2 linked regions of the Notamacropus eugenii genome follow. The protein of the gene in region 2 binds, or shares a complex with, the protein of the main gene of each other region. Links are inferred from orthologs where the notes say so. Each region holds a gene or a part of one and is shown on either strand. Other genes may lie near its edges. The genes, in order: BMF and RPS6KA3.

Evidence for each region.
Region 1: the proteins of RPS6KA3 (region 2) and BMF are in contact, whole or in part, in a crystal structure (PDB 8R58), measured with the Homo sapiens proteins. The link is inferred for Notamacropus eugenii from reciprocal best matches to the Homo sapiens genes RPS6KA3 and BMF. Residues at the interface, in NP_004577.1 of Homo sapiens: Trp252, Phe259, Phe268, Leu281, Ala283, Lys284, Leu285, Gly286, Met287, Pro288, Leu299, Arg300, Phe303, Lys304, Arg305, Asn306, Asn309; in NP_001003940.1 of Homo sapiens: Glu8, Leu10, Glu11, Asp12, Asp13, Val14, Phe15, Gln16, Pro17.

The regions. Positions count from the first base shown.
Region 1 is NC_092878.1:25,990,113-26,005,940, forward strand, and holds the start of BMF (bcl-2-modifying factor), read right to left. Parts: upstream 8,218-15,828; 5' UTR 8,217-8,217; coding exon 8,120-8,216; intron 7,908-8,119; exon of another isoform or gene 5,665-7,907; intron 5,656-5,664; exon of another isoform or gene 5,449-5,655; intron 5,253-5,448; coding exon 4,956-5,252; intron 2,599-4,955; coding exon 2,438-2,598; intron 1-2,437. UniProt on the Homo sapiens protein: May play a role in apoptosis. Isoform 1 seems to be the main initiator.
Region 2 is NC_092876.1:457,655,029-457,670,536, reverse strand, and holds the start of RPS6KA3 (ribosomal protein S6 kinase alpha-3), read right to left. Parts: upstream 6,959-15,508; 5' UTR 6,690-6,958; coding exon 6,621-6,689; intron 1-6,620. UniProt on the Homo sapiens protein: Serine/threonine-protein kinase that acts downstream of ERK (MAPK1/ERK2 and MAPK3/ERK1) signaling and mediates mitogenic and stress-induced activation of the transcription factors CREB1, ETV1/ER81 and NR4A1/NUR77, regulates translation through RPS6 and EIF4B phosphorylation, and mediates cellular proliferation, survival, and differentiation by modulating mTOR signaling and repressing pro-apoptotic function of BAD and DAPK1.

The sequences.
Region 1 (15,828 bases), on a different chromosome or scaffold from region 2:
TCCTAGTTTCCCCAAAGGCACCAGAGGCAGAAGCAGAGCCTGGTATTAGAACAAGGAGGAAGCGAAGGAAGAAAGAAATGCTAGTGGAAATTTTCAAAAAGAAAAGAAATAACATTAGGGCCTGGCTTTTACATAATGTTGGCGCTGAGAAAACAGGTTAGAAAGTCAAAATTTAAAATCACTCCAAAGCCACTGGCAGGAGAGAAGGAGGATCAGTCAGGGTCTATCCATTGAACACTCAGTATTGGCTTCCCTGGAAGGCTGGACCCTGCTTCCCCTCCCCCCAGCTGAGATGGCCAGGGCCCTGGGAGGTCAGCAACCCAGACTGAGATTGAATGGTGAGTGCTCTGGCTCAGAGACCAAGTAGGGCTGGGAAGTTGATTCTGTGCTCTTAAAGGGGCCACTCTCAACTCCTAGGTCACCTTTTCCTGTTTAGGAGCCAGAGTTTGGGCACTGAGGTAGGAGGGTGGAAGAACTTTAGTTGCAGCCAAGCCCTGGGAAGACAGGATTCCCTATTACCTTTTCTTAGGTGTGTTTGGAGGGGGAAATCTCCCTAGGTGAAAATGTGTTCATATAGCACCAAGGCGTCAGACAACTGGGCAAAAGTGGAGCCAAGAGTACAAGCCAGACCCCAGGAAGGAGTGGGAGGCATTCAGCTCACATTCAGATCCCACACCAGACTAGTTAAACAGGAATGCCCTGGAGAAATAACTGACCAGACAGCTCCCACCACTGGAGACCAAGGAAGTTGTTGGATACACAGACTATAAGAGAATCCCTTCCAGCCAGAGGAGAGGAGCCCGTGTGTGGCCAGTTCTAAAAATGTGACTGCAGAGAAGGAACAGATCTGAACAGCTCCTCCCTTGCCAAACCACTGTGGAAGATCCAGTAATGGAGAGAATAGATTTGGGGACAGGGGTAAGGATGGAAAGGGAGGCCTGGAGAGAATTAGGCCAACTTGGAACTAGGTCAAGGACCCAGGGTGTGAGCCAAAAGGGAAGCTCTTGGGGCCAAGAGATAGAGCAAATTGGGGTCCTTGGAGTAGAAACAAGAGGATGGGGACTCTGGGTCAGGGTCAGAGACCTGAATTCCAAGTCACCTTCAATGATGTAACCTTGATGTTGCTGCCCAATATCGTATAACTGCTTCTGTCCTGACATAACCTACCTACCCCCACCATGACACCCAGCAAGAGAACCAGAACTATTCATGGACCCACACTGGCAACCCTATATTTTATCTCATTTTCTCCCCTTGCCCCAGATTCTAATCATATCTAAACCTACACAGACTTACACCCAGGAAAATACCACAGCCAAGTAGTAAAGATATGTCAAGATCCAGCAACTGTTCAGCTCTGACACCAAAGTTGGGTGAGACTAGAGACAAGGTCTACACGTCAGTCATTCTCTCTGAGACCTCCGAAATCACTTACTTAATCTTATGTCCCAAAGCAAATTATCCTTTACTATGTGAGGTGGGAGGAAAACACACAGCTACACTGACTTAACTTAGACCAATTAGGACTGTGCACCTCAAAGACTGGTTAATTCAATTTCCAAATGACTTGAATTCACACTCTACATTATATCCTTTAATACAGAATCAGTCTGAGATACCTCTCCCTGCCCAGGCAACGCTCCAAAATGTTTGCCAGGGGAGGAAGAGTTAAGTGTTCTGGCTGGGCAGACCGGCTCATAAAGGCCCAGCGCAGGGGGGCAGCCCAGGGCCCTCCACAGCTCCTCCTGCACGAGCCAGCCGGCCGCCACAGCCTTTGTTGACTAACTCTGCCACATGCTTAGCTGACACGCGATGCTCTGCTGTGGTGGTGCCAGGGCTGGGCTGCTGGGCTGCCACTGGGCACCCCAAGCCCCAGGCCAGGAGGGATTCTCAGAGGTACTATTTTCTCCTGAGTCCTTTGGCCCTGGTTCCCAGACAGAGACATCAGATCAGGCAGCCTCCCCAGCTGGAAAGTGTCAAATTACAACCGGTTCCACAGCCTCCCATGCTGGAGCCCCACTGCCTGCGTTAACCTTCCCTCTGCTGTACTTCCTCTGAATGCATGAGCAGGCGGTGGGGACTGAGCATCCACTCCAATCCACAGGGGTGACACTACTGGGTCGAGGAGATGGAGAGGTGGCAATTGTGACCAAGGTGCTGTTCAGCCCTTTTGTAGCTCCCACCTCACTATAACCCCTTCAATAGCTCCTGTCTCCGCATCATGGTGAACCTCTTCCTCTCTAGGGTTCAAGATGCTCCTCCCAACGGAGCCCAACCATTGCCCAGAAACTGCGCACTCCCAAGTCAAGGAAGAGTCCCAGGGTCTGACTGAAGGATGCCCAAGTCTGGATGAGAATTTTGAATGAGAGAAAGGCAGCAGAGGATTCTTATGGTCCTGGCATCTGTTGAAGCTCAGCTTCCATTGGCTGATACCTACCCGCTGCATATGGAGTCTGTGGAACTGGTCTGCTATGCGTTGAAGTTTTCGGGCAATCTGAACCTCAGTTCGATGCTCCCACTGTTCTTCAGGGGGCTCCTCTCCAAGCCTCAGGCTTGCAGGAAAATTGGCTGGGAGGGGAAGTCGGTATCCAGCATTGCCTGCGAAGATAGCAGGAGAGAGAAGGTCCACATGAGCCAGCATTTGACACAATAGCCAGAGTCCTTCCTGGGGGCCTCAACCACAAATGCCTAGCAAGATCCACCGGTATATAGTAAGCATCAGCTCCAAGTGCAAATCTGGAAGGATCTCATTGACCATGTGGTCCAACCCTCTCATTTTACAGATGGGGAAACTGAGGCTCAAGAAAGGTAAATGATTTGCCCAAGGTCACACAGGGATCAAGCACCAGAGGTCATATTTTAACTCAGATCCTCTGACTCTTGAGCTAGTGTTCTTTCCACTGGACATGCTGGAGGCTGGATCAAAATTCAAGGAGCACAAATTTCACCTTTGGCATGACTCTATAGTAGGTGGTGTCTCTCATCTATTTGCCCAAGTTAATTAACTAAGAATTTATGCAAGGAGAATAGATGTGCTCACTAAGTGCTATGTTGTATTGTAGGAGAAGAAATAAGGGAAATAAAGCTCAATATCTGCCGTGACACACAAATAATGATGACACAGACTAGAACATGATAAGAGTACAAGAAAGATAAAAACATTACTTTAAGAGTTGAGAAGAGGGAAATGATCACACCTGGTTGAGAGGTGGGAAGGGAGAGAGGGGGAGAGAGGAGGAGAGAGAGAAAGAGAGAGAGAGAAAGAGAGAGAGAAAGAATGAGGAGGAACTTCCTATAGAGGTGGTACCTGAACTAAGCCTTAAAGGATGGAGAAGAATAAGGTTGGGCATTCTAAGTATACAGAGCACTGTGAACAAAGACACTGAGGCAGGAAAATACAAAGAGTCCAATTTCGACAGAACACAGAGTAAATGATGGAACGGGGTATAAAATTAGGCTAGAAGGTCAGAAGGAGCAGACTGGTAACAAATCTGAGAGTTATTTGTAAGGCTGGATATCACCATAATGAAGTACTCATTTCACTCCAGGATGAAGCCCCTCTCCAGAAGGAATTTTTAAGGTCTCCAGGATTTTTGGTTCCAATAGACTGAGGAAAAGGTCAAAAGGTGCAACTGCAGAGTATGATCTTCCCTGGAACCTCCCCAGCAAGCTTCAGGCAATACCAAGAAGAGAGTGCCTCCAGCCACAGGGAAAACAAGGTCCTTCTGCAGGCAGCCTTGGCTGGGCCTTCTGGGATGCCCTCTGAATGTAGACTATCAGCATCCTTCAAATCAGAGATGTTCCACTCCCTCCCCTCCTTTTCTAATCACTCAGGCCAACTCTGTACAGAATTACTTTGGCTTATCACTGAAAGGCAGTTCCTTTAGAAAGAAATGCAATCTTCACAGGTCTTGTGCCTCATCCTATACACATAAGATAACTTCAGAACCTCTTTAAGCTAAAAAAATGGGCTTAATGCCTAACCTTACTCCTTATGCCTGGCCCTCATGCCCCTTAAATATAGGTAATGGGAATGGGATCTGCCCGGATTTAAGCCACCCTGTTCCTGAGGAACAGCCTTTATCTCAGCATGAAGCCAAACCCCGCCAGGACTTGGCAATTTTCTCCTGCTCTCCTTCCAACCACAAGTAGTCTTCAGTAAAAGCTGGGAGCCAAGCTTGGCCCCTAGGAACATTCTCTTCTAGAGGGAACTGCAGTGTAGCAACAAACCAAGTGATAAATGCCGGAGGGAGTGGGGAAGCACTTTTACATCTTCCCCCCCTTCCTTACTACCACAGGTCACTGATAACTAAGCAAGGGCTTTGCTCTAGCTCTCCTCCCAGACAGAATGCCCACACCAAACTAAGAAGGCTTGGTCGTTTTCTTCCCCCAGAGGCCCCTCCTGGGTGTACAGAGGCAGGGAGAGACACAACTACAGCTAAGACTGAGTTGTCCCCACTCTACAAAGGAAAAAAGCCTACCATACCCACTGGGCAGCGTAACAGATAATCTGAGTCTTAAAAGGGACTTTAGAATACAGAAAAAAGAGAATGTTCCTGTTGGAAAAGAACTTAAAAGTCACCTACTACAATCCCCTCTTGTACCAGAATAGGGGTATTTTCAGAATAGTGAGAGCATACTTGCTCTAAATTCCCATAGCACTGAACTTGTACCTAGTAGGTGCTTTGCACCTAGTAGTGCCTTGCACCTAATACTTGCTCAGTTATTTGATGATGGAATAAATGAATGGTAAATGATGCGCACGGCAATTTAGCTTCATGAAGACTGGCAAGTGATCCAGCAAGAAACAGAAAGAAGTGAAGGCTCAGAAGGGAGAAAAGAGAGGACTCAAGACCCCTGTGGCCCTCTGCCATACCTTTATTAGAAGGGATAGTTTTACCTCTACTTTGAACTCAGGAGAGAAGGATCAGGAGGGAAAAGGCTGTCAAACTCACCATAAAAAAGTCGGTGGGGTTCTTCAGTCACTCCACAAGGCAGCATGACACCCTGGCTTGGGGATGCTGGACTGAGGGTCTGAGTGGCCTTGTCTTCCTGGCCAACTGACCGAAGCCCTGGGCCGCAGCAATGGGTGAGAGGGAAAAGCTGCAGCCCATCCAGCATATAGTCAGGCTGACTCTGGGCAAACAGAGCAGCTGAGGTCAGGCCCCCTGGCTGAGCACCAGGCTCTGAGTCCTCCGGGTGGAACACCTCGTCCTCCAGCTCGTCTACATAACGAGGAGGCTCCATCTCTCCTGCAAAAGAAAGGCGGTCAAGTCTGGGGTGCCACTCCTCACCCCCCTTGGATGATTCATGCCCCTGCTCTCCATGCTCTACCCTAGCCAATGGAAGATAAGGTCAGGGACTGCTGACATACAGTCTTGGCACAGGAAACCTATAAATGAAGACAAAAAAATCCCCCTCAAACTACCTGGAAAAAGCCCAACACACCTGGTCCCTCTAGTAGGCTGCCCACAGCCTCCTCTACCCTTGGCTTCTTTTCCTGAACAGGCCTGTCTGTGGAGTTCAGACCGTGAGTGCTCTTGGCAAGGGCTATTTTGGCTGCTATGAGACTTGCTTACAGAGTCTAGGTGCTGCTATGGGGTATTTAGGAAATGGTAAACAATGAAAGCAGTGGGAGGGAAAAAAGGGACCCAAGTCATTCACCTGCTCCAGGAGTGCAAGGTCACCCAAACAGGCTCCAGACACAGTGTTCTCTACAAGTGAGAAAAAAGCATAATCCCCGCCCTAGGGAGCTCACTACCACACTCAGGCAGAGCTAAACTCCTGGCTGAGCAACCACCACTACAACAAAAGCCAACAATAACCTCGAAGCCGTGCTTCCAGCTCCAGAACCTGCTCAAGTCCCTCCCAGCCGACTAACTTTCCCCTATGCCCCGCCCCCACTTGCTCAACACTCACCAATAGACACTGGAGGGTGGTTTGGTAGTGGTGAGATTCCTGGGAGGGCCTAAGTCACAACAAGATGCTCTGAATCTGGAGAGTGGCTGAACTGAGCTCTCAGCTCTCCAGAAGTCCACAAGAAGGATGAGCTTATCATCTAGAAGCTTTTAGAACCTGCTCCTTGCAAGCTCCCAATCCCCTACCTCAAAGGGTTCCCATGCCTGTCCCTAGCTGAACCTGGGAGCTGTGTATCCTGCCTCCTAGGAGGAAGTAAAACTCAGCCTCATGTCTCTGGCATCACCTATACCGTCTGGGTAGCATCTCTTGCTTTAGCAGACAGACAGCTTAGAGAAGAAGTCCTGGGGTGACCCACTTCCCAACTCCCACAGTTCATAACTACTACACCGCGTATTCAGTGACTGCAGTGCCACAGTGTGTCTTAGCTTTGCTAGTGCCCAAAAGCAGAAGTCACCTATACTCTCCAATGGCCTTTCTTCAACGGAGTGCCATGCCACAAAGCTGGACAAAGATAGTATCAGAAACAAAACTCGGGACTCCTGTCTCCCAGGTTACTTCTTGCCTTCAAGCACAATCCAAACTGAACTGTGTTTTTCTGAAGCATCTGAATAGATCACATCTAAATTTGGAGAGCTTGAGTATCAAATACTTCTGCCTTCATCAAATCTATTACTCCCCTCTCCCAGTTATTGGAGTTGTTAATGAAAAGGGCCATAGGGCACATATAGATGACCTACCTACCTACACACACACACACACACACACACACACACACTCACACAGACTCCATCTCTCTATCCATATCTATCTATCTATCTATCTATCTATCTATCTATCTATCTATCTATCTATCTTTCCCCTATGGACCAGGATGCAAACTTTCTAACTGAACTGACCTGAGGCTGCTCTACCAGAGTTAAGTGGTGGTTACCTGTTGCCCAGAAGAATGACAGCCTTTATCTCATAACAGTAACCCCAAAGAGGGTTCCCTTTAAAACAGCTGGGATCCCACAAACACAGGCAAAAGACAGAGACTCTTTCTCCTCCAAAGCTTGTCAGCTTTTACCCTCCAGGCAAAGCCCCAGTTCTAAATTGACTGGGTTGGGTGAGTGGGGGAGGTGTAGCCTGAGTGGGTTGGATCAGCAATCCTGAGAGACCCTTTCCATTCTCTACTGTAGGAAGTACATAACCCCACTCCCCCTACCTGACCTGACTTTCCCTAGTGATTCAGCTCCAGCCTCCTCTGCCAGTACAGGCTAGTCCAGAAAAGTTGTGGTACACTGACTGGGGGAGGGGTGAAAGATGAGGCAAGTGGTCCCTGAAAAAACTTTGGAATAAGTGATGGAAGAGATCCCCATGGAACTGAGGATGTGGGACACTAAGCCAGAGGGCTCCGCTTCCCCAGGAAGACACTGCCAGGTAAGCCGTTACTCCAAAGTGAAATCCACTCTTCTGGACCTGCTCAAACCTTTTCCAACTGTGACAGTGACTTCCAAAAGTTGGGCTTGGCCCCAGAGGGCACAGACAGAAACTAGGCAGCTGAAGTCCCTGGCGCTGCCAGAAACCAGGGGTCATGTGTACACTACAGACCCGGGTCCACAGTACAAGATAACTCCAGGAAAGAGCCTCAGCTCTAGCGCTATGATGCCAGGGTTCAGAGCCAAAGCCCAGTGATGAGCGCGCGGGGCTCCGTGCCCAGACCGGGATGGGAAAGAGGTAAAGGAAGCCAAGCTGGAAAGGAGCAGTCAGACCCCTTGGAAGGCAGTGCACCCCAAAACTCTTCGCCACCATCCCTACTTTGGAGCAGAAATGTAAAAAAAGAGCTAAGGCACCCCACACCCCAAAGTCCCACAGTCACTGCACCCCCAAGCTTCCCTGGTCATTGCAATCTGAGCCCTTGTTCTGCCAACGACCCCCTGGGGCAGAGGACACCCCAAGATCCTTCCAGCGAGCCCCGCGCTCACACCTCACCCCTCGCGGGTCAGCCCTGTAACTCCTCCTCCCTCCGCCCTGCACTGCCCCCAAGCACTGGCCACCCCTCCAAGCCTTCCCTGCCGCGGGGCACGGACCCCCACGGGTGCGCTCTGCCCCCGCCACGGGGCACTCACTGCAGCCCGCTCCCCGCCACGCGGCGCCGTCTGCCCCTCGTGGGGCGCCGCACCCCGCTCGGCCGGTCAGCCCCCCAGCCCCGGGGGCTTACCTGGCGACGGGGCGCAGGCGGCCGGCGCGCGCAGGGAGGCCAGCCTCCGCCGCCGCCCGCGCGGTATTGTTTCCAAAATACCCCCGCTCGCTGGCATCCCGCAAACAGCTGACGAAGCCCCGCCCCTCGGCGACGACCTGACCAATGGCGAACGAAGCTCCGAGTCCAGGGCTGGGCAGCAGGCAGGGACAATCGCGAATGTGTGAACCTTCCAGGAGATGCGCGGCAAGGGCGCAGGGCAAAATTCTGAGCCGCCACAGAAGCGAAAGGTTGGCTTCCCAGCCCGGGCGAAGGCTGTGCCACCCCTTCTGTGGGAATCCAGAAAACAGAAAGCAGGCCCAGAAAGTCTTCCTAGGAGACCTAGGGTTTTTCGTGATCGCACTAAATAATTACCTGGGGGGGAGGGGAGGGGACGATATCTTCAATTTTTGCATCCCCTGCAATAGTGAGTGGCATCCCAGCTTCCTGTTGACAAGTGGATGTTGGCAAGCTCCTGGCTCTGTGCCCCCATGACCCAATCCATTATCAAGTCCTCCGGTCCTAACGCAGCGTCTACACCTGAGCCAAGGGCTGTGACTTTACAACCTGAAAACGTCACAGAGTGGAGAACCTTATCGGTCCGCGTAATGGTTGGAAGTTACCGCCTAAGTTTCATATTTTGTACTCCAAAGGAAAAAAGGATGGGAGGAGGAGGAGGAGGAGACCTTCCTCCAGCTCCTAGTTTGGAATCCTGGTGCCTTGACTGTGCCTAGTAAACTGCAAAATAAAAATCTCCTGAGGGAAGGATCCTCCCTGTTATACCCGGGCTGCTTGGGCAAGTGTCTTACCTGACCGGCAAGTGAAGATATGGCGGGTAAATGTCACATTTCCACGGGGCAGTGGGAAGGGTTGCTGACTATTCGTCTGACTTCTTAATCCATGGGTTGCAGATTTAGCCAGACGGTGAGTTTGGTGCCCTTGGGACAACTGCTTGCACTAGCTGCTCCTGAAGTGCGTGGTAACTATTTGCCCTGGATGGGCATGGGATAGTGTGGTTAAACATCTCCCTTACTTCATTTTTTACCTGAATCCATCCATTTCCATGCCCTTGCCCATCCTTTGGAAGAACTTTGTTATTCCTGGGAACTCTCCTGCCCATCTTGCCTGGAACTCCTACCTTCACTGATGAATCATGGCTCACCAGCACTCCTCACTCCCAAAGAACTTTTGACCTACAGTCTCATCAAAATTTGTAATATCACACATAGCGGCAATTCTCAACTGTAGTAATGGAAAGAGGAGGATTTGGAGTTGGGGGATGTGGATTCAAATCATCTCAGGTAGGACAATCAGAGCTTTGCCACAAGTTGTCAAAATGATGGAGCTGGACAAGATGACCAACTCTAAGTCAATGATCCTGTGAAGGGGAGACTACAATTCCTTTTTTACCCTTTACCAATCTAGTATAGTATGATGGGAAGAACACTGGTGATGAAAGTAAGAGGATCCTGGGTTCAAATCCTTCCTTTGATGCTTGCTCACAATACGGCCTTGGGCAAATTACTTAACTCTCCTGAGCATCTGTTCCTTATCTGTAAAATGAGAGGTTTGGACTAGATGGCTCCAGAGGTCTCATCCTACTAGATCTCCTATCCTATGATCTGCCCTACCCTGATTAGAAAGGGGTACCCTCTCTCTAATGGAGGCAACAAGTCAATTGTCCTTAAGGATTTGTCAGGCCCAGACTCTGGGACCCTGCTTGGTAGACTGGGAGGGATTTTAACTTTCATGTGGGAAGATGGTGTCCGCAAAAGGCTTGAAGAAAATGCCAAGACATCCACCTTGTCTTTCCTAAGGATTGATGTCTGTCCTGGCAATAATAACAGCTCATACATATTCATTTTCCAAAGAACTGGCCTCACAATGAAGAAGTGAAATGGGTAACATGAGTATGACTAGTCCCATTTTACAGATGAAGAAGATGAGGCTCACAGAGCAAGATTCACCACAAAGTTCTATTACTTTTTCTCAGTTTAATGCAACAAGTACTTACCATGCCCTTCCACATCCCAGACATTGTGCTAAGTGCTGAGGATAAAAAGACAAAAACAAGATGCGGAGGCAGCATTGGATAGTGGATCAAGATTCAGCCTTGGAGTCAGAAAGACCTGAATTCAAATCCTAAAAGTGAAACTGTGTGACCCTGAGCAAATCATTTAACTTTTTATACCTCATGTGACCATTTACAAAATCTGTTGGACCTTACTTAGTAAAAGGTTCTCAGGAGGTGTAAACAGATAGGATCTGAGGTCAGGATCAACTCTAAGGAGAAGAGGAGAGTCCAGGGAGGGGCCTACACAACCACTGAGAGGGTAGGAGGGGAGGCAAGCTCCTGGAAGCCGTAAGGCAAAGCATTCTTTTCTCCACACTAGGAAAGGGATGTTGTTGCTTGGTCATTTTCAGTGATAACCCCATTTGGGGTTTTCTTGGCAAACATACTGGAGTGGTTTGCCATTTCCTTCTCTAGCTCCTTTTACAGATGAGGAAACTGAGTCCACTGTGTCATTTAGCTGCCCCCCAGAAATGGGTACCAGAGTTGAATTACAGCTATCTGATCCCCCCTCTCAATATTGCTGATCTAAAAGTACAATCTAGGGGTTCAAAACAAAAGCCTCTTCCCTGATCACCATAGCTTAGTTTACATTTGCTATTTTAACTCTTTCCCACTAAAGACTAGTTAGATAAAAGACCACCATAAATAGAGAATAAGCAGACAAGAAGCAGAAATTAGAGAAATTATGCACCCTAAAATATACCAGAAAATATACAAGAGTGAATGAACTCTTTACTGGGAATAAATGAGATCTCAGGGCAAATCAAGACAGAGGAGACACAGGTCAGTCTCAGATGAGAGAGTGAGTTCAGAGTCCTGACTACATGATGGGGCTTGTCCAGGATAGCACAGAGTATGAGAAGAGATACTCCTGACCTCTAGAAGCCTGAGTGGGAGATGTAGCCAGCCTTACTCTGGGAGAGTAAGTTCAAAGTTATCACTACATATGTTATTTCAGAGCAGGTGTTTATCTGCCTTGGTAGAAGGAAATCCTCATTTGGAGATCTCTATGCCTTTGAATTTGAGCAAACAGATGGCACAGTGGATAGAGTGCTAGACCTGGAGTCAAGAAGACCTGAATTCAAATCTGAACTCTGACACTTACTAGCTGTGTGGGCCTAGGCAAGTCACTTACCACTGTTTACCTCCGTTTCTTCATCTGTAAAATGAGCTGGAGAAGGAAATGGCAAACCACTCTAGTATCTTTGCTAAGAAAAGCCCAAATGGGGTCACAAAGAGTCTGAAACAACTGAACACACCCCCTTGAATTCACAGATCTGGTTAAAAAAAAATAAGGTCCCACGTACATATGTAACAAGGATCATGGGAGTGAGAGACTAGAAATGTCTGGTTTGCTGGACTGGGCATATTCCAAAGCACATGTCCCTCAGCACTCATCTAGTCCTTACTCTGATGCTTTATCACTCAACTAGTGGTTTTTGAGAGTCCCTGGGACAATATACAAGTCTGGAGTGGGGAAAAACGAACTGGGTCTGAGCTTACATTGTACAAGGAGTCAGCAACATATGCACAGATCAGTCAGTAAAAATACGTACAAAGTGATTTTAATGTGTTGGGAAGTGTGGGATTCTAAACTTGGGGACCAAAGAAAAATACAGACTCTTCTCAGAGGTAGAGCTTGTGCTGAAATTTGGAAGGATGGAGGGAAATTGGATCTCCAAGACTTAGAGATGAGTGGGAAGACCTTTAAGTATGAGGAGAAACATTTGTAAAAGCACAAATGTCGGTGAGAAAATATTGTATATAAAGAGCATTAAGTAAGCCCGTCTTGACCTGAAGGATTAATATGAAATCAGCCTGCAAAAATAGGTTGGAGTCCAACTGTAAAGGGCTTTATATCCAGAGGCATGTGTTCTTTGTCCTAGAGACAATAGGGAGTCATTAAAGCTTCTTGAGCAGGGGAGTTACAGGTCTAGACCTGTGCTATAAGAATACTTATTGGGCAGTTCTGTGGAAGTTGAATTAGAGAGGGTAGAGACTGGAAGTTAGAGGCAATTGCAACTGTCCAGGTCAATGAGAGAGAATTTCAGATGATATACTATACTTAAGGTACTTCACAGCATTAAGAGTCTAATATTCTATGTTTCAGGGACAAAACTGCTAACTCAGATCCACCTTTAGGGCAAGGGGTCCTTAACCTGGGGTCTGTGATCTTGTTTTGTTTTAATATTTTGAAAACTGTCTTTCAATAATATTAATTTCCTTTGTAATACTATGTATTTTACTTTACACATTTAAAAATATTATTCCGAGAAGAGAGTCATAGGCTTCACTAGATTGGCAGAAGGGTCCATGAGACATACACACACAAAAGGTTAAAAACTCCTGCTAAAGGACAATAATAGGAAATGGTGACATTGAATGACATCCAAAGTCATTGTTGAATGTTTTCCATTCTACCCTCCCACACTGACTTTTTGTCTTCCTTTTTTCCTTTCTCCTTTGCTCTTTTGCTTTCTTTAAGATCATAGGATTTAGGGGCAGCCAGGTGATGCAGTACCGAGAACACTGACCCTGGTGTCAGGAGAACCTGAGTTCAAATTTGGTCTTAGATACTTACTAGCTTTGTGACCCTGGGCAAGTCATTTTACCCTGGTTGCCTTTAAAAAAAATCATATGATTTAGAACTACGACCATAGAAATCATCGATCCTAGTTCTTTCATTTTATAGATGGTTAACAAACATTTAAGAAGTACCTACTATGTGCTAGGCACATAGCTAGTCCAATAAAGTGATGTGACTTGCCTAAGATCATACAGGCAGCAAATACCATAACCAGGCTTTTAACCCAGGTGCTCTGACTTCAAATCACAAAAGATTTCCACTAAAATCAGGCTTTCTTCCTTACACTTTTCTTTGCCTCTCCTGCCTGTTAATGGTACTATGTGGTACTGTTCAGTTGTGACCAACTCTTGTCACACCATGGACGATAGCACATCAGTACTGTCCATGGGGTCTTGGCAAATGGCTTGCCATTTTCTTCTCCAGTAGATTAAGGCAAAGAGAAAGTAAGTGACTTGCCCAGTGTCACACAGCTAGTGAGTATTTGAAGCTGGATTTGAACTCGGGTCTTCCTGACTTCAGTCCCAGCATTCTATGCACTGAGTCACCTAGCTGCCTTGATGGCATTCCTAGGAATTGCTTAATCCAGTTAATAATGCTCAAAACTAAAACATTTCCTACTGATAGCTTTAGAGAAAACGGAATATGGAAAGTGGCTTCTAGAAGGCAAGTCCAGAGCAGTTAAGAGTGACAGAGAAAACTCCAGGGAGTCCAAGGTGGTCATTTTACCCAGCTTCCTTGGCCCCTGATCTATTGATAGGTATCTTTCAGATTTTTAGAGTGAAATTAGACCTGCAAAGCAAGGCAAAATGTTGGAGTTCTCCACATGGATCTGGGACAGAGCTGTAACTAGGTCTTTGTCTCTTGTCACTGACATTGGAGGGACACCCTTCCTCCCTGGGTCTGTCTTTAGGCCGACATCTCTATGTGGTCCAACAGCACTTCACCACTTGGTACCATCCAAGGGTACTACAACCAGAATTCCTAGTTAGAGCTCCAGATGCAGGATGCCTGTGGGGTAGGGACAAACCAAATTATGTTCACATTTCTGCCAAGATATTCCCCCCTAAACACACCTCTTCCCCAGGCCACTCCTGACAGTCCATTTCTAGAGAACAGCCCTTACCCTGGGGAAGGTTGCTTGGCCTTGTCTCTTTTCAGATGTTCAGCCTCTATGAGAATCAGTACAAAGAGGGTCTGCCCTTCAGTCAGAAGTATTTGAGCAAAGACTCTCCAGGAGCAGGGTCTGGAATCGCCCCTCCCTCACAAGAGCCAACATCACCCAAATATGTTTTCTGGAGGTTGGACATACTCTCCATTGCAGGGATCCAGGCAGAGCCAGCTGTGCTTAGGACCCTGCTGGATTAGAAGGGTCGGGTGTTACTCTTCCCCGACTGACAGAAGCCCCCTAGTAACAGATGTGCTCAGAGCTTTTGACTGGGTTTAGGAGGAAAGGCACGCTTGCTACAACAGCAGCAACAACCAGTGATTGGAGAGAATCTCCTGATGGGCCCTTCCCTCTTCCCCCGGTCTACCTCTCAATTTGTTTTGGGGTTTTTTTCCTTCCTAAGAGAAGTTGGCTTTTCAGGGTAGGGTCGCCTCACACACCTCCCTCCTTCCAAAAGGCAAACCTGCTCTCTCACTGTGGCCTCCTCTCCAGAGGCCCGGGAGGGGGATACAAAGAGTTAAGCTCCCTCTACTTTGTGAAATCCCTAAACTAGGATTGGGGGAAATGAGCCAGGAGCCTTTACCATTGTTTCACCTGGCTATAGGGTTTCTCTCTAACACAAGGAATCGGCTTTAAAACCCCAGTAACTGGATCTCACCAGGAAAGGAGGTTTTTAAAAACCAGCTGACAGCTGAATAATAGGAATTACCAGGCAGGCCGCCCTGGGGTTACTGAGGTTTGTAACTCAACCTCAAGGGAGGGCTTAGATTGGAAACTGATTTATGAGAAAATCAGAAGTCACAGAGGGAGAGTCTTGAGTATCTGGATAAGTAGCCTTCAGAGTCACTGGGGCAATATACTAGTCTGGTAGAAAGAGCTAGATTCCAAAAGACAATTCCCTCTTTGGCCTCTGGCTTTCTATGTGACCTTATGAAGTTGCTTGTAACCTCTCAGGGGCCTCAGTGGAGCTATCTGTAAAGTGGGCAGAATAGCACCCTCCTTTTGATTTTCAGAACCAGTGTCTATGTTAATGGGTCTACCAGAAGAGACACACTGGAAAGGACAGAGACTCAGGAGTCAGAAGATATGAGTTCAAATTTCCCCTTTAACTTTTACTTGCTGTGTGATCTTGAGCAACTAACTTGTTTCTCCTTGCGGAAGAATTGTCAGTGCTTTCTAAATGCTGTTGCCCTGGACCACCACCCCATGGCTCCACCCTAGTTACTGCCCTGAAGAAGACTACCCCACTTACCAATCCATGAGATGGATAGGATTTAATTGAGGAATGGGAGGTGAGAAGAGGTTTAAAAAGGGAATTTGGAAGATTAATCTCCTGGAATAAAGAGGAGTCTGGAGGAACATAAACTATCAGGCAAAATGTTGGCTTTGATCAAAGTCCTAAAATGGGGTGACTTGGGCTTTATCCTAAGACACCCAAATAAAGTTTATTATTCATTAAAATAGGAAGCTACTAAAAAACCTCCAGTGGCTTCATGGTACCCCAGAGCATCTTCCCACTGAAACCAGGATCCCTGTCCCTAGGTCTCTGTGTCCCCTATATAAGGCATTTTCTCTACCCGAGGAGCCTTGTGTCCTGAGGTCAGAGGTCAGGGACTTTCCCAGTGTTTTCTTCCTCTCTCCACACCCCTCTCCTATTGACTGCTCACCTCTGGCTGTTTTTATGATACTTTGCCTTGGGTACCAGAATGCTTACTATTGGCTTTTCATCAGAAACAGAAAGTTTTCGTGCTACATAGATTAAACACCACGTTATATATAAGGTATTGTTTGAGGGATGCCTATATTTATTGATTGAATGAATGAATAAATGAATGAATGAATGAATGGATCCACATTAACAAATG
Region 2 (15,508 bases):
ATCTTAGACTGCAGAGATGTCAAGGATGAGGACTGAGGCCATTATATTTGGCAATCAAGAGAACACTGGTAACTCTGGAGACAACAGTTTCAGTTAAATGATAAAGTTGGAATCCAGAATGTAGAGTTAAGAGAGTGAGAGAAAAGAAAGCGGAGGCATGCATGGTAGGTAGTTTTCTCAAGAAATTTAACCATGAAACGAGGGAGAGATATAAGGTAACAGTTACAAAGGATGGACAGATCATCTACTTTGGAGAATGAGGGATACACCGATATTTTTGTACATAGCATGGAAGCAATCAGTAGAAAAGGAGAGAGTAGAGATGAAAGAGAGAGCAACCTGCTGGAAAAGGCAGGGTTAAAAGGAATCTCTTGTGCTATGGCAAGGAGAAGAACCACCTCTTTTTTTGAGATAGAGTGGACAAGATTTCTGAAAGATATGAGATTGGAAGGGAAAAAGAGGGAGCTTACTGAATGGCCTCAATTTTTTCAGTGAAATATGAGGCAAGGTTCTCAACTGAGAAGACAAGGGGAAGGAGAGCCATCAGAGGACTGAGAAGACATAGGAAGGTTTTGAAAAGGTGCTGTGATGAATGTGAGAGTGAATAAATTAGGGAGGCATAAAAGGATTGTCATGCTGCAGTAAGGACTCAACTGAGATTATATAACCTAAATCAGTAGTGGATTCAGTCAACATGGTTTAATGATTTTCTCTTAATTGAGTGAAGAAGTGCTTCATTCAGCAACACATAAGTAGGAGTGAAGGTAGATGATGAGGGTAAGAAAGACTGAGTTTCAGCATGGTAATATTGGGAAGAGAATAAGAGGGCAGGACATCTGAGAGAAGAAAAAGTCAAAAAGGGGTATGAGAAGTATGTAAACAGTATAGGAGTGACGGCCTGGGAAAGAATTGAGGATTAGTGAGATTGGAAGTCAAGGGTAAAGACAAACGGCAGGGTTAGGCACTGTAAGGCACAGGGAAAGATGAAAGAAGTACAAATTATTTGCATTGAATTGTAGACAAGTATGGAAACTATAAACCACAATTTTAATTTTAAACGATTTTACAAAATTATTTCAAACAATTAAAAAAAAGCAAATATGTCAACAGACAACCTCAAACATTTTCTACAGAAAATGAAAACTTCATATTTATAATCTGTTGTGTAGTCTTGGACAAATCTCTTCAACTCTTCAGAGCTTAGCTTTCTCACATGTAAAATAAAGGGGTACCCACCAGGGGTTCCCACCTGGAGGACACAAAACTTGTCAAGGGTAAATAGTTAATATTTGGTATTTTTTCCTAATACTCTAAAAGTAGTAGTGGCTTCTGAAAGCATTTGAGTTTAGAGAGAACTGCAGGGAAGGAAAAGGGCTGATAAAGAAACGGGCATTAATCCACATATCTGAAAAATTTGAGATAGCTGAAGGAATAATTCCTACTGACCAAAACCACATAAATGAGATTTGGAAAACAAATCAGTGACAACCAATGAAAGATGAGCCATTAATCTCCACAATAAGCAGAAACTCAAAATTTCTAATGAACTAAGTTACAAAATTTTTGCTATACTTCTAGAGAAACACATACTATTCTTGTTTACAGACTCTAATTCTTTTTTTAAATTTTTTTTAAATCACAGCTCATTTCTATGAATCAGTATCCTTGATCCTGTTCTTAATCAAATCCAAAGGAAGAAGCGAACTGAAAACTGAACTTGATTGTGTGGGTTATCTTTTTCAAAAACTAAATGGGAGAGGGGCAGGGGGAGAGAGGGGGAGAGAGGGGGGGAAGAGGGGGGGAGAGGGGGAGAGAGGGGGAGAGAGGGGGAGAGAGGGGGAGAGAGGGGGAGAGAGCGGGAGAGAGCGGGAGAGAGCGGGAGAGAGCGGGAGAGAGCGGGAGAGAGCGGGAGAGAGCGGGAGAGAGCGGGAGAGAGCGGGAGAGAGCGGGAGAGAGCGAGCACGCACGTGCAAGCACCTGTGATTTCATTATAGGAAGTTCTTGGTTGGGAATTTCCTCTACCAATTAAGTTGAACCTTCTCTGCAACTCAAGAGTCTCAGTTGCCTACGGTCACAGAGAGGGTCCAGGGTCACACTAACAGTATACCTCATAAGCAAGATTTAAACTCATGTCTTCCTGACTTCAAGGCCATTTCTCTATACCACTTTACACTACACTACCTCTTCAAAAACTACACCCAGAAGTGGTTGATGAAAAAACAGAATCAAAGACCTCGCTGGACTACTCTAATATATAACTTTATGATACTAAAAAGTTCTGTTCCTAATACAATTCTTTTTGTGAAAATTATTTTTTTTCACATCATAGCTTTTGTGAATATGCATGGTAAACTTTAAAATGTATATCCTTTCATATTAAACAAGGAGTATGGGTAGGTTTTCCAAAAAGCAAAGAGATATGGAGACCAAAAATTGCTGGAAAGATAGTGAGGTCCTCCAGATCTTCCTGTTTGTAAAACAACATGTGCTGACTGCATTAAGCCCCAGGTCATCATACAGCCTCTCCTCAATGAGAGCCAAAATAATTCAAAACTGTCATGACCAACAATGCATACAGGAAAAATGAAATCGATGAAAACTGGTTACAAGTTTACTTGGAAGATCAGTTCTTTGAGTTAGCACATCAGCGCACATATCTGAGACAAGCACTGCAGATGGCCGATAAGCTTGGCCCAGAACTGAACAGGATGAGATTGGATAACATATTCTCCATATGATGTATTTCCTCAACTTCCAAAAAATCATTACCTTCCCAAATTCATTATTCTTCCTAAACTTCCCTATTTCTGTTTAGGGAACTACCATCCTTCAAATTACTCAGGTTTACAAGAAGTTATCCTCAACTTTTTTTTCTGTTAGTAATCAAATCCAATCAGCTGCCAAGGTTTGTTTAACTCTCCTCCAGGTCCTGTTCTTGAATTCTAGATTTTAAAACCCTGCCTCTACTGCTGCCTCATCCAGATACTTCTCTGGGCTATTTTCCTTGGAACATCCAAAAACCACAGGGCCTTTCTTGAAGGCTTGTTCCATTCTCCCACTGGTGACTTCCTACTAAGGCCTCCATTTTGTACAGTGGCCCAGGTAAACCTTCATTCCCCTCCTGAAACAACTGCAAACTTTAGGACTTCAAACTCCAGCCTTCACCTTTTAGTTCCCTTTTGTTCCCAGTTAGTTCACAAATAGAACATAAGCTCCCTGGGGGAAAGGGCTGTCTTTCTTTTTGCTTGTATTTGTATTCTCAGCGATTAGCACAGTGCCAGATACATAGTAAGCACTTCATACTTGTTTTCTTTTTTCCTTCTACCTCTTCATTTTACGTTTATCTCCTCCACACTCACAAAGCCACCACTAAAGCTCAGGCCCTCATCTCCTCTTTCCTGGACTACAAAAACGGTCCTTTCTACCTGGTCCTGCTACTGTAACCTCAGCTGCCAAACTGGTATTCTTGAAACATATTTGCTTAAAGAAACTCCAGTAGATCTTCTTTCTCCTAGGATAAAGTATAAACTCCTTTGTTATTTAAAGCCCTTTATGGTTCAAGCCTACCTTTCCAAATTAAGTTCAGGTGTCACCTTTTGGAACACATTTTATATTTCATTTTCTGAGTTGACATGGTTTCACCCAATAGGACATTAAGTTCCTGGAGGATAGTGTTCATTCACTTCATTTTTGCCTTTGCATACCCAGTGCCTAGTAGGTGCTAAATAAATGTTTGTTGTTTGTTTGCTATGGCAAAGGATATGTTACTGGAGAGGTATACAGTGGCTGCAAAGAGACTGCAATATACTTCCAATGATGATCTAAGTGCTAAGGGATATTAAGGAGGAATGCATCTATCAAGGGAAAATAGGTATTGAAAACGAAGCATAACAAATGGATAGCCTGAGTGCTGTACTGGTACCTATGAAAGGTAAAAAGACTTAGAGAGAGGGTTCTAGCACACTGGAGAGCTCTCCTGTTTACAGATCTGCTTATGGAAGAATAAGAGATGTATCCCTTAAACATACTAAGTTCATTTCATATAATAATCCAACGAACTGCCATGTCTAATCACTCTAAACCGCTTTGGAAATGATTTTTTTCCAGTATGTTACTTATTCCTATTTTCTACTCAGTAATGTTAAATAGAACTTCCTTCATGTTCCCAAGTGTGAGTCATGAAAGAAAGCTTTAACAATGAACATATTTTGTCTCCAGCCCAAATACCCCTGGGTGTCCTAGGTAGGAATTAACATATGCGGGACTAAATAATAAATCCTTTCTCCTGGTTTAAAAAAAAAGGTAGCATTTTGTTGCTGCAGCTTCACTGTAAAATGGCTTTACGTGGTCCAATCAACATTTGTTAAACATGGAGTGCAGTACTGGAGAGGTGTGTGTGTGTGTCTGCGTGTGTGCATGTATGTGTCTGTGTGTGTGCACGTGTGTGCGTTAAAAACAAATAAAAAGCTTGGTACCATTTGCTCTTTTACTCTCTAACATGGATGCAGAAGGTACAAGAAGCTGATGGAAATCCTTGCACCTGACCTTGGAGACTCCAAATCTGTATCAGAATAAATATGCTTGAAAATTATGGAATCTTCAGGTGAAAACAAATAAAAAAAACCTAATGGCAAATGAAGCATTTGATTTTTGTCATAAAGAAAGCCATCATATTTTAATAATAAGAGCTGATGTTTAGCTGATATATAGTGGTTTATGGTTACAAACTGTGAGTTAGATAAAATAGTTTATGGTGCACATTTTTTAAATGAGGAAACTCAAGTTTAAAGAGGGCAAGTGGCCTGAAGTTGTAGGTGTTGGATTCAAAACCTGCACTATATATCAGACCCTAATCCAAACAGTGGATGGTTGATCTAGTTTTTAACTTGGGAGAATTTATGGGGTCAAACGTTGAAAACCCAACCTCTCATATTTAAAGGTCATGTAAAAGTTTCAAAGACAAAAATCTTTTAAAGCGATAGAGCATGACCCTACGTGCCTGGTTTTTAGAAAACATGGCAATAACTGAAATAAGCCAACTGACTTAACATTTCAACTAATTTTCATATAAATCTTTCATGAAAACAGGCAAAATTTCTGCATTTCTGAAGAATTCCCAATCTTTACCAGACATAAGATAAAAATGTCATTAACATATATTTGGAACTTCTAAATGAAGATTTTACAAGTGAGACTGTCATATCTAGATCATACATGGATTGAATTAGTTATATCTTTCATAATACTTGTTAAGGGACAAATCACCTTAAATTTTATATCCTTAAGTGATCGTATATTTTTTAAACATTGGCAAAATCACTGATACTTGATAAATTCTATTTAAGATTAGCTTTCTAGGCTGATGGAACAATGTTCTCTTTTCAAAAGTAGCTTTTAAATGAGATTTTTAAAAAATACGATTCAAGTCAAAAAACTGACCCCAAATCAGTATTATTGGAACTTAGAAGATCTGCTTGTGAACAAGCAAGCGTGCAAAGAACATTTCATGGCGGTGGAAGTAACTGGGGGGCTGGGGGAAACTCCTGAAATGACGTTAGCCCCTCTCCCCTTTCCCCTCCCTGAGGCGGAGAACACAAAGGTCCCATTCGGGAATACATTCAAGCACGGTCACCCTGACGTAAACTGTAACCCAACACGTCCCCCGGACTGCGGAGACCGGCACGGCCGAAGCCCGGCTACGCCGGCACACCACTCCAGCCCGCACTCAGTCACGCTTTCTAGAAATGGGGCCAGTCAGCAACTACTACACAGGCACCATCCCGTAAAGTCCCCAAGTCAGCAGGGCGGAGAAGAGCCCAGCGAAGCGGCAGAAGCCGAGGGGGTGCCCAGCGATGCCCCGCCGGCCGGAACTCCGAACGACTCGCCGCTGCCGCAGAGTGGATCCCGGGACAGCGACGGCAGCGGGAGAAACCTCAGGACTGAGCTCCGGACAAGGACACGCACACGGACACGGACCACAAAGTGCACGCGCAGGGACACGGGGCGACGGGCACCGGGCCCGGGGTGGGACACCACAAAGCGCTTCCCGAGCCGCGATTTCTCCCCCCACATTCTTATCTCCCCCTCGGCCCGGCCCTCTCCCCACCCAAAGCGACAGGAAACTCGTGAAGCTCCGAGGGCCAGGGAACTCCAGGTCAAAGATCCGAGACACGGACGCGTGGGGGTGGGGGCGGGGAAGCGCAGCAGGGGAGAAGAGACCTGAAGAGTCAACTTTCTCCGTGGCAGCGCGAGCCCCGCGGGGCCCGAAGCCGAGGGGCAGCCCTACGAGTCCCACGCGGCCACCCACGAGCCCGAGGGTCCGAGCGGCTCCGCGCGCCCAGCGGCACATCCACACGCGAAGTGGGTTTTACAGCGCAGCCCCCCCAGCCCCAGCCCGCACAGACCCCACAAACACACCCAGCCCGTCCTCGCAGGAGTGAGGAAGTGGGGAGGGGGAGGAATGAACACACACCGCACAACACACACACCCACAAACAAGTAACCAACCCGGAATCTCGGACGAGGGAGGAAGGAAGAGCCGCTCTGCGGGCACTCGGGGGCGGGCGCCCAGGAGGAGGGAAGGGAAGGGGCCGGGGACCCCGGGGCAGCCCCCCACTCACTTCGGCGCTGTCGCTCGCGTTCTCCACAGCCATCTTCTGCCACGGGTCCGCCAGCTGCGCCAGCGGCATCTTCCCCCCGGCCCCGTCTCCTCCTCCTCCTCTCCCGCCTCCTCCTTCTCGGGGAATCCTGCTCCTCCGCCTGAGCCCCACAGCCCCGGCGCGCGGCGGCCGCGGGACCCCGGGGGAGGCACGGGGGCCGACACCCCCCAAGCGCCGCGCTCTGCCGGCGAGGCGCCCGCACGGGCGGGCGGCGAGACGGGGGCCGCGGCCGCCGTCCGCGGGGCTCTCGCCCTCCTCTTCTTCTCCTCCTCCGCCTCCTTCTAGCGCGGCCGCCGCCGCCGCCGCCTGCGCTCCTCCTCCCGGCCCCGCTCCCTCTCCCTGCGCCGCCGCCGCCGCTCGCTCCCCCACTTCCGCTCACAACATGGCGCCTAAACGATACCTGTCCCTCAGAGCGAGGCTCGGGCCGCCGTGCGCAGCCCCCTCAGGGGGCGGGGCCTCGAGGGCCCCGCCCTTCGGCCCCGCCTCCTCTCCCGGCCCCCTCCCCCACCCCTCCCCCTGCTTTCTCCTCTTGGCCTCTCCCAACCCTAGGGCGGGGTGAGACTAAGGAAACCAAGTGGGTGTTGCGCGAGTGGGATGGATGGGGAAAGGAGGAAGGGGCAAATGCTTCCAAACCGGAAGGTGTGGGAGCCCGGGAAACCCTCTTACTGTAAGAGCTGGGTGTAGCGTACGGGAGGATGACATTATCCCGGGGATTTTGGTCACCCCTCTGGGGTGGGAGAAAATCCCAGGGTAGTTTTGTCACTCGGGCACTTTTGTCCGTCTGTCTCCCCGCAGGCCGGCGTCTGGCAGAAGAGGCTCTGGACGGACGGGCCAGCCCTGTGCCGGTGACCTTGACCCGCAGGATAAGAAAAACCTCTGGCTAGGTTTTTCATGATCATAAAGCGAGCCGTCACTGTGCCTACGTGTACACAGCATGGGAGAATAAGAGCATCCCAGGCTCTGCTCAGTTCCGTAGCCGAGCATCTGCCTCGGCATAAGGCCTCGGATAAGGATGGTTCGGGGGTCCTTTGAGGTACTAGCTTTTCTAGGTTCTAATTCGAACCTCGTTTCTTTTACAAAATTTAGTCTCCCCAAAGGGAAATCTCCGAAATTTGGATTCCAGATAGCCAGCAGGAACCCTTGTGGTCCCCCGAAAGGACTCAGGTTTCAGTCCCCGTCTCTATCTCCCCCATCGCATCCTCCCCAACCCGACATTCCTCCAATATTGTGCAGCCCAGGGCTTACTACTGTGGCCGGCGTTACAGAAGAGTGATATATCTTCCACGAAGGCGGAAAGCACGAGATGAATTGATCCTGCCACTCTCCAAAGAAGTCAGGATAGGGAGTTATTAAAAATACGTTGTAGGCAGGAAGAGCGGGGTTCCTATCATTCCGCTGATTTAAAATAAAAGATGAGATTAGAAAGTAGGTCTGGTTGGGGGCGGAGTAAGTGGGAGTGAGAGAGATACTGGAGAGGACAGAGAGGGTCTGACTCCCCCTTCTGCCATAAAGAGGAAGGACCACTCTATACACATCGAATGCTACTAGGATTTTTCTCTTTCAAGAGCATTAAAAATTTTTTAAAAATCAGAAATGCCAGAGTTGGAAAAGACTGGGGAGTCATATCATATCTAAATGAGTACATGACTGCCTAGTTCACTCCGGGTTATAGGAACTTTCAAAGCACTCCCTCAGAAAGGTAACTCTGTACAATGAAAAGCAACAGAAGTTACTAAGTATCCTTTAAGGAGGAAAAAAAGTATCATCCGACAAGTTACTGTTGCACCCTCCATCTGCTTATTTCTCTGGTGCCATTGTTTTCCAAGCATCACCTCGGTTCCTTTCTTCCCAACCAAAACTCCTTCTCGGTCCCCACCCACGCACTATGCCAGAAGCCATTTCACATAATAGATTAACTCTTTGTCGACTTGTGTGTGTGTGTGTGTGTGTGTGGGGGGGGGGGGGGTTGAGTTCCCTTTCCTTTAACACAAAAGAATCAATCTGTTTTCTGGCATCGAGTACCTGACAAGCTTATAGCTTCCTTTCTAAAGCAGGTGAGAATTATTACAGTTTGCTAACAGGTGTCAAGCATTACCAGCGTGGTTTCAGAATCTAGATTTCATTAGAAGAGAGGCACCACTTTCAGTGTTACTAGGGAAAACTCCTAAGTGGTTAGTCCCGAGGATGTAAAGAAAACTAGTACCCGGGGTTCTTCATGAACGGCCAATTTTTTCCCTCCCTCCCTCTTAACCGGTACTAGGTGTTTAATCTTCTTTCCATTCTCTCTAGCACCCTTCTCCAACTTCGTTAGCCCTCAGCTCACGCAATAACTACGTGGTCACAACTGCAGAAGCGAGATAAGCAAGCCCTTTGGCCATCAACTGTAACTGACCAGACTGCAAGCTAGCCACTTTTTGGAAGCTTTAAAAGTTTTCTATTTGTCATTCCCCTTACAACCATGCAAGATTGTCTATCAGGTTAGATAGTCGCCTATACCTGCATTTTTCCTTAATATCTAATAGATATATTAGTACAAGTGCTTTTGTGTATATCAGTACCATCTTCCTCCCTTATCCTTCTCTTTCTGTTCCATCCCTACTGGACTGGAGAGTTGGGACGGTGTAGAGGTGTATGATAAATAGAGGTGCTGGACGTGGAACCAGGAAAACTTGGGATAGAAGCCTGCCTCAGACACTTATTAGCTTTATGATGCTGGACAAGCCACTTAACTTCTTTGGGTCTCAGTTTCTTTATCTGCAAAATGAAGCGGAGGAGTGGACTCTGTGCCCTCTAAGGTCCCTTCTGACCCTATGATCCTTGAATTTCTTATGCTGAGCCCAGCTTTCCCATATAGTTTCCAGAGACTAACCAGCTCTCCTTGCACCCACCAAAAAAAAAAAAAATAAGGTGAAAGGTGGGACAGAAAAATATTGGATATAATATCTGGTAGGAAAGGCAGCATAGTATAGTGTGTATAGAAAACCCACCTCAGGCAAAGTGAGGAAGATTTGGGTTTAAGTATCACTTCTGACACATACTGGCTAGGTCATCCTGTGCAACTCACTTATCCTCTCAGTTCTTCCAGGCATTTTTCTGACTATATATTGCAGGACAGTTGTTCTTCTGTATTAGTAGGGATAGATTCCTCACTGAAATCTCCTCTCTACACCCACCACATCACAGGTGTGGTTTCCCCTCCCTCCCAATCTGTTCATATTTTGTGTCCTTGGGCAACTTATTCTACTTTTGTAGGTCTGTTTCCTCAGATGTAAAAAGAAAACTACTGGACCAGATGCTCTCTAAGGCTACTCTGAGTTCTATGTTTTTCTGATGCTATAATGACACTGAATTGTAGAATAAATGAATTAAAAATACCTGTTTGAATTTATCTGTTGTAGTAAATCATCTTTATGTGTGACAAGTCATGTGGAAGTTTGAGGACAAAGAGACTGAAGTTGCATGCTACTATTTTGCATTTAAGTATAAAGTTTGTATGTGTGTGGGTGTGCGTGTGTGTGTGTCCTCCGAGCATACTGTAAAACATTACTATCCTGTATAACAAGTGGATAGGGCTATCTTGTGGCTTCATGACAACTGGCAAATTAATAGCAAACCTGTGACTAATGCTCCAAGTCTCTATCCTTGGTTGACTACAGTAGTATTACATGGGTAATAAAACTGATGTGTATATAACATTATGAACATTAGCTTCTTAAAAATAGAATTCTAAATAGAATTTCAAACTTTTATTAATTTATTTTGCCGTGAAAAATGTTAGAACATTTTTAACAAAAATTAATTGATAAGTTTGTATGAGACCAAATGGATGAGTCAGTTCTTGTACCTAACATTAAACATTAAATAAGTTGCTAATAATAACTTGGTACTTGCGCACTCAATAAATATGTGTTAGCCTGATTTTCTTCATATATAAAGAAAGGTTAGATTAGAGGGCTGAATCACCTCTAAGGTCTGATCCTACCTTCACATTCTGTGATTTACAAAAATAAAATTCTCTTTCTGCCTGAAGGCAATGACATAGTTCTTATTGACAGGAGTAAAATATTTGTTCATCTGAATTTTAGAGCAACACAGATTATGATCAAATGAGATAATATGTAAAGTGTTTTGTAAACTTTAAAACACTAAATGTTAACTCATTACTGCTCCTTCTTTAGATGGGTAAATTTAAGCAAGTAAAATGTAATGACTGGGAGAAATTTCTGTGGAGGGTCATCAAAAAGAGCTGTTATTTTAAATTTTGCCTAAGACAGGGTTAAGTTTTACTGATTGGTAGAAAATGACTCTGAATGTAGTACTGACAAAGAAAAACTGACAAAGAATGCTTCTACTCCTTTCACTGAATGAAACACACTACACACTTTTGCAGTATAATGACCTCACGCTCCACTAGTCTTCTGGTCTTCGTTTTTCAGGTTCTTGGTTTTCAAAGTGAAAATAAGGACTGAATCGATTGCTTCAACACTCCTCCCTCCCTTCCCTTTAACGCTGCCCCATACTAGTTCTCTACTCTCAGTTCCTCCCACCTACTCATGCATAATATTGGAAAGTTATTGCTTGAAATTGCAGCTTAGGATAACTGCAAATATCTCTAGAAATTATGGAATAGGTTTCCAAGAAATCATTCCCAATGCATGACAGCACAACCAGACTTAACCTCCTTCACCCCCACTAGTTTCCTGCTATAATTATAACCTTTGTACGTAGTTTAAATGTGCATTTATTTAACATTGTTCAAAAGTAGAATTACGTCAGTCTGGACAAGTTCAAGATGACTAACTATGGCTCATAGCTCAATCTCTACTTCATATAAATCCAAATTCACAACTTAACAATGTACAGATTTGTCACAATTTAGAATGTTAAGAAAGAATCATCACATCTCTTAAAAATTTTCTATTCCTTTACATTATCTGAAGCATCTTTTATTTTTCACAAAAGCAAACTGTACTTACTGGTAACTGTTCCTAGGAAAAAGGGAAAAAAGATTTCATAGTATCAGATTTAGAACTGGAAGAGACCTTAGAGGTCAGCAAGTCCAACCCCCTCATTTTACAGATGAAGAAACTGAGGTACACAGAGGTTAACTGACTTGCTCAGGGTTGAATGAAGGAATTCAAATCCAAGTCTTCCAGATGCCAGATGCAACACATTTAACTACTGTATTAGAAACAGATCATTAGTGAAGTAGATAGAATACTGAACCTGGAGTCAAGAAGACCTGGCTTCAAATCCAGTTCACAATGACTAGCTGTGTCATCTTGGGCAATTCACTTAACTACTCCCTGCTTTAGTTCCCTCATTGGTAAAGGGGAACAATAACACCTACCTCTCAGGGTTGTTGTAAGGATGTAGTGAGATAACAATAAGCATTTTACTAAGCTTAAAATTCTAAATAAATATTACCTATTATTATTATATCACCCTACTTGAATTTCATCCCAAATTTATAAATACATATTAATTAACTTAATAAAATGAATGGAAATATAAATTTTAATTTTTCCTTTGAACCTCTCCAACATTGCTTAGGAAAGAAAATAGTAAAATATACACTTTGACTATTATTTGAGAGTTTTAAAACATTTTTTATTTGAAAGGGTAAAGTTTACATTTATTATCATCCTGTCTGTATTTTATTTCAGATGCTCTATAAAAATCCACACTTTTTCAGAAAGAAATGAAAATTGAAGGGAAAATGACCTTCTTTCAAGTCTTTTTTGAACTCTAAAAGTATATGATTCCATGTGGTGGAGCTTGGAAGAATATCAATAAGATCTATTTAAGAAAAACTAAGTGTAATAGTGAATTTAGGAGGCTCTATTTACATTGGGAATGCTTCCTTTTGAATTGGTCAGAAATCTCAAAACTCTGTGTTTAAAATGGAATTCAAGAACTTTTTCCAGTGGAACCAAGATGGTGAAGTAGAAGGACAGACCTGCTGTAGCTGTCCCCCCGAAGCCCATAAAATACCTGTAAAAGTGACTCTAAACAAATTCTAGAGCAGCAGAAGCCACAAAGTGACAGAGTGAAAGAGATTTCCAGCCCAAGGCAACCTGGAAGGCCCACAGGAAAAGTCTGTCACACCAAGCTCAGAACTGAGTGCAGCCCATGGAGCACAGCCCAGCCTTGGCAACATGGCATGGCATGGACAGGACCAGATCCGGGTGTGGAATCCCAGGTAGCAGCTGGGGTTTCCAGATTCCTCAACCCACAAATGCCAGAGACAGCTTCAAAGGTCAGTGAGAAAGCTCTTTCACCTGGGTGAGAAGGGAGGAGGGTCCTGCCCTAGCCCTGGCCCCAGGTGGCTGCAGCCTCCATTTTTGAAGTCCTTGGTCAAAAGACCCTAGGGGAATCAAGCAGCTGATCTGAATCTCAGCCCTGAGTGGCAGTCCTGGGGTGAGAAGGAGTACTGGCATGGTGGAGTTGGAGGTGGTTGCGGAGAGTGAACCCTACTTGCAGATCCTGGGCAGAAAAGCTTGTGGTTGCACCCAGACCAGAGCACAGATCAGGAGAGGAGTAAACTCCTCTGCAGTGATTATGCCACCTCAGAGGAACTGAGAACTTACAGGTCCCTAGAGTATACCCTCCACTTGACAAAGGATTCAAAAGTCAATAACTGCATGGGCAAATGCCCTCAAATGGGGGGAAAAATAAGACTATAGAAGGCTACTTTCTTGGTGAACAGGTATTTTCTTCCATCCTTTCAGATGAGGAAAAACAAAGCATACCATTAGAGGAAGACATCAAAGTCAAGGCTTCTTCATTCAAAACCTCCAAAATAAATATGAAATGGTCTCAGGCCTTGGAAGAGCTCAAAAAGGATTCTGAAAATCAAGTAAGAGAGGTGGAGGAAAAATTGGGAAGAGAAATGAGAGTGATGCAAGAAAATAATGAAAAGCAAGTCAACTGCTTGCTAAAGGAGACCCAAAAAATGCTGAAGAAAATAACACCTTTAAAAATAGACTAACCCAAATGGCAAAAGAGGTCCAAAAAGCCAATGAGGAGAAGAATGCTTTAAAAAGCAGAATTAGCCAAATGGAAAAGGAGCTTCCAAAGCTCACTGAAGAAAAGAGTTCTTTAAAAATTAGAATGGAGCAGATGGAAACTAATGACTTTATGAGAAACCAAGAAATTACAAAACAAAACCACAAGAATGAAAAAATTGAAGACAATGTGAAATATCTCATTGGAAAAACAACTGACCTGGAAAATAGATCCAGGAGAGACAATTTAAAAATTATGGAAATACTTGAAAGCCATGATCAAAAAAAGATCTTAGACATTGTCTTTCATGAAATTATCAAGGAAAATTGCCCTGATAGTCTAGAATCAAAGGATAAAATAAGTATTGAAAGAATCCACTGATCACCTCCTGAAAGAGATCTGAAAAGAAAACCTCCTAGGAATATTGTAGCCAGATTCCAGAATTCCTAGCTCAAAGAGAAAATATTGCAAGCAGCCAGAAAGAAACAATTTGAGTATTGAGGAAATACTATCAGGATAACACAAGACCTAGCAACTTCTATGTTAAGGGACCAAAGGGTTTGGAATATGATATTCCAGAAGTCAGAAGAACTAGAATTAAAACCAAGAATCACCTACCCAGCAAAACTAAGTATAATACTTCAGGGGAGGAAAATGTCTTTCAATGAAATAGAGGACTTTCAAGCATTCTTGATGAAAAGACAAGAGCTGAATAGAAAATTTGACTTTCAAACACAAGAATCAAGAGAAGCATGAAAAGGTAAACAAGAAATAGAAATCATAAGGGACTTACTAAAGTTGAACTGTTTACATTCCTGCTTGGAAAGATAATATTTGTAACTCTTGAGACTTTTCTCAGTATTTGGGTAGTTGGAGGAATTTTATACATATAGACAGAGGGCACACATGGTGAGTTGAATAGGATGGGATGATATCTAAAAAAATAAAAGTAAGGGGTGATAGAGGAATATATTGGGAGGAAAAAGGAAGAAATGGAATGGGACAAATTATCTCTCATAAAAGAGGCAAAAAAACCCTTTTTCAATGAAGAGAAAAGGGAGGAGGTGAGAAGGAAAAAGTGAAGCTTACTCTCATCACATTTGGCTTAATGAGGGAATAACATGCACACTCAATTTGATATGAAAATCTATCTTACACTACAGGAAAGTAGGAGAGAAGGGGATAAGTGGGCTGTGGGGAGGGGATGATAGAAGGAAGGGCAAATGGGAGGAGGGAATAATTAGAAATAAACACTTTTGGGGAGGGACAAGGACAAAAGAGAGAACAAAATAAATGGGAGACAGGATAGGGTGGAGGGAAATATAGTTAGTCTTTCACAACATGACTAATATGGAAGTCTTTTGCATAACTACACATGTATAGCCTATATTGAATTGCTTTCCTTCACAGTGGGGATGTGTGGGAAGGGAGGAAGGGAGAGAAGTTGGAACTCAAAGATTTAGGAACAAATGTTGAGAACTGTTTTTGCATGCAACCGGGAAATAAGAATATAGGTACAGAAATCTATCTTGCCTTACAAGGAAAAAGAGAAGATGGGGGTAAGGGAAGGGAGGGGTGTGATAGAAGAGAGGGCAGATTGGAGGAAGGAGTAATCAGAATGCATGGTATCTTGGGGCGGAGAGAGGGGAAAGATGGGGAGAAAATTTGGAACTTAAAATCTTATGGAAACAAATGTTGAAAACTAAAAATAAATAAATAAATTAATTAAAAAAAAAAACTTTTTCCTAACAACTTCTTATTTTCCATTGAATGTAGTTCATCCTTCTTAAAACTATTGTTAAAAACAAACAATACCTGTCATATGTGTTGTTCGTTGTCCA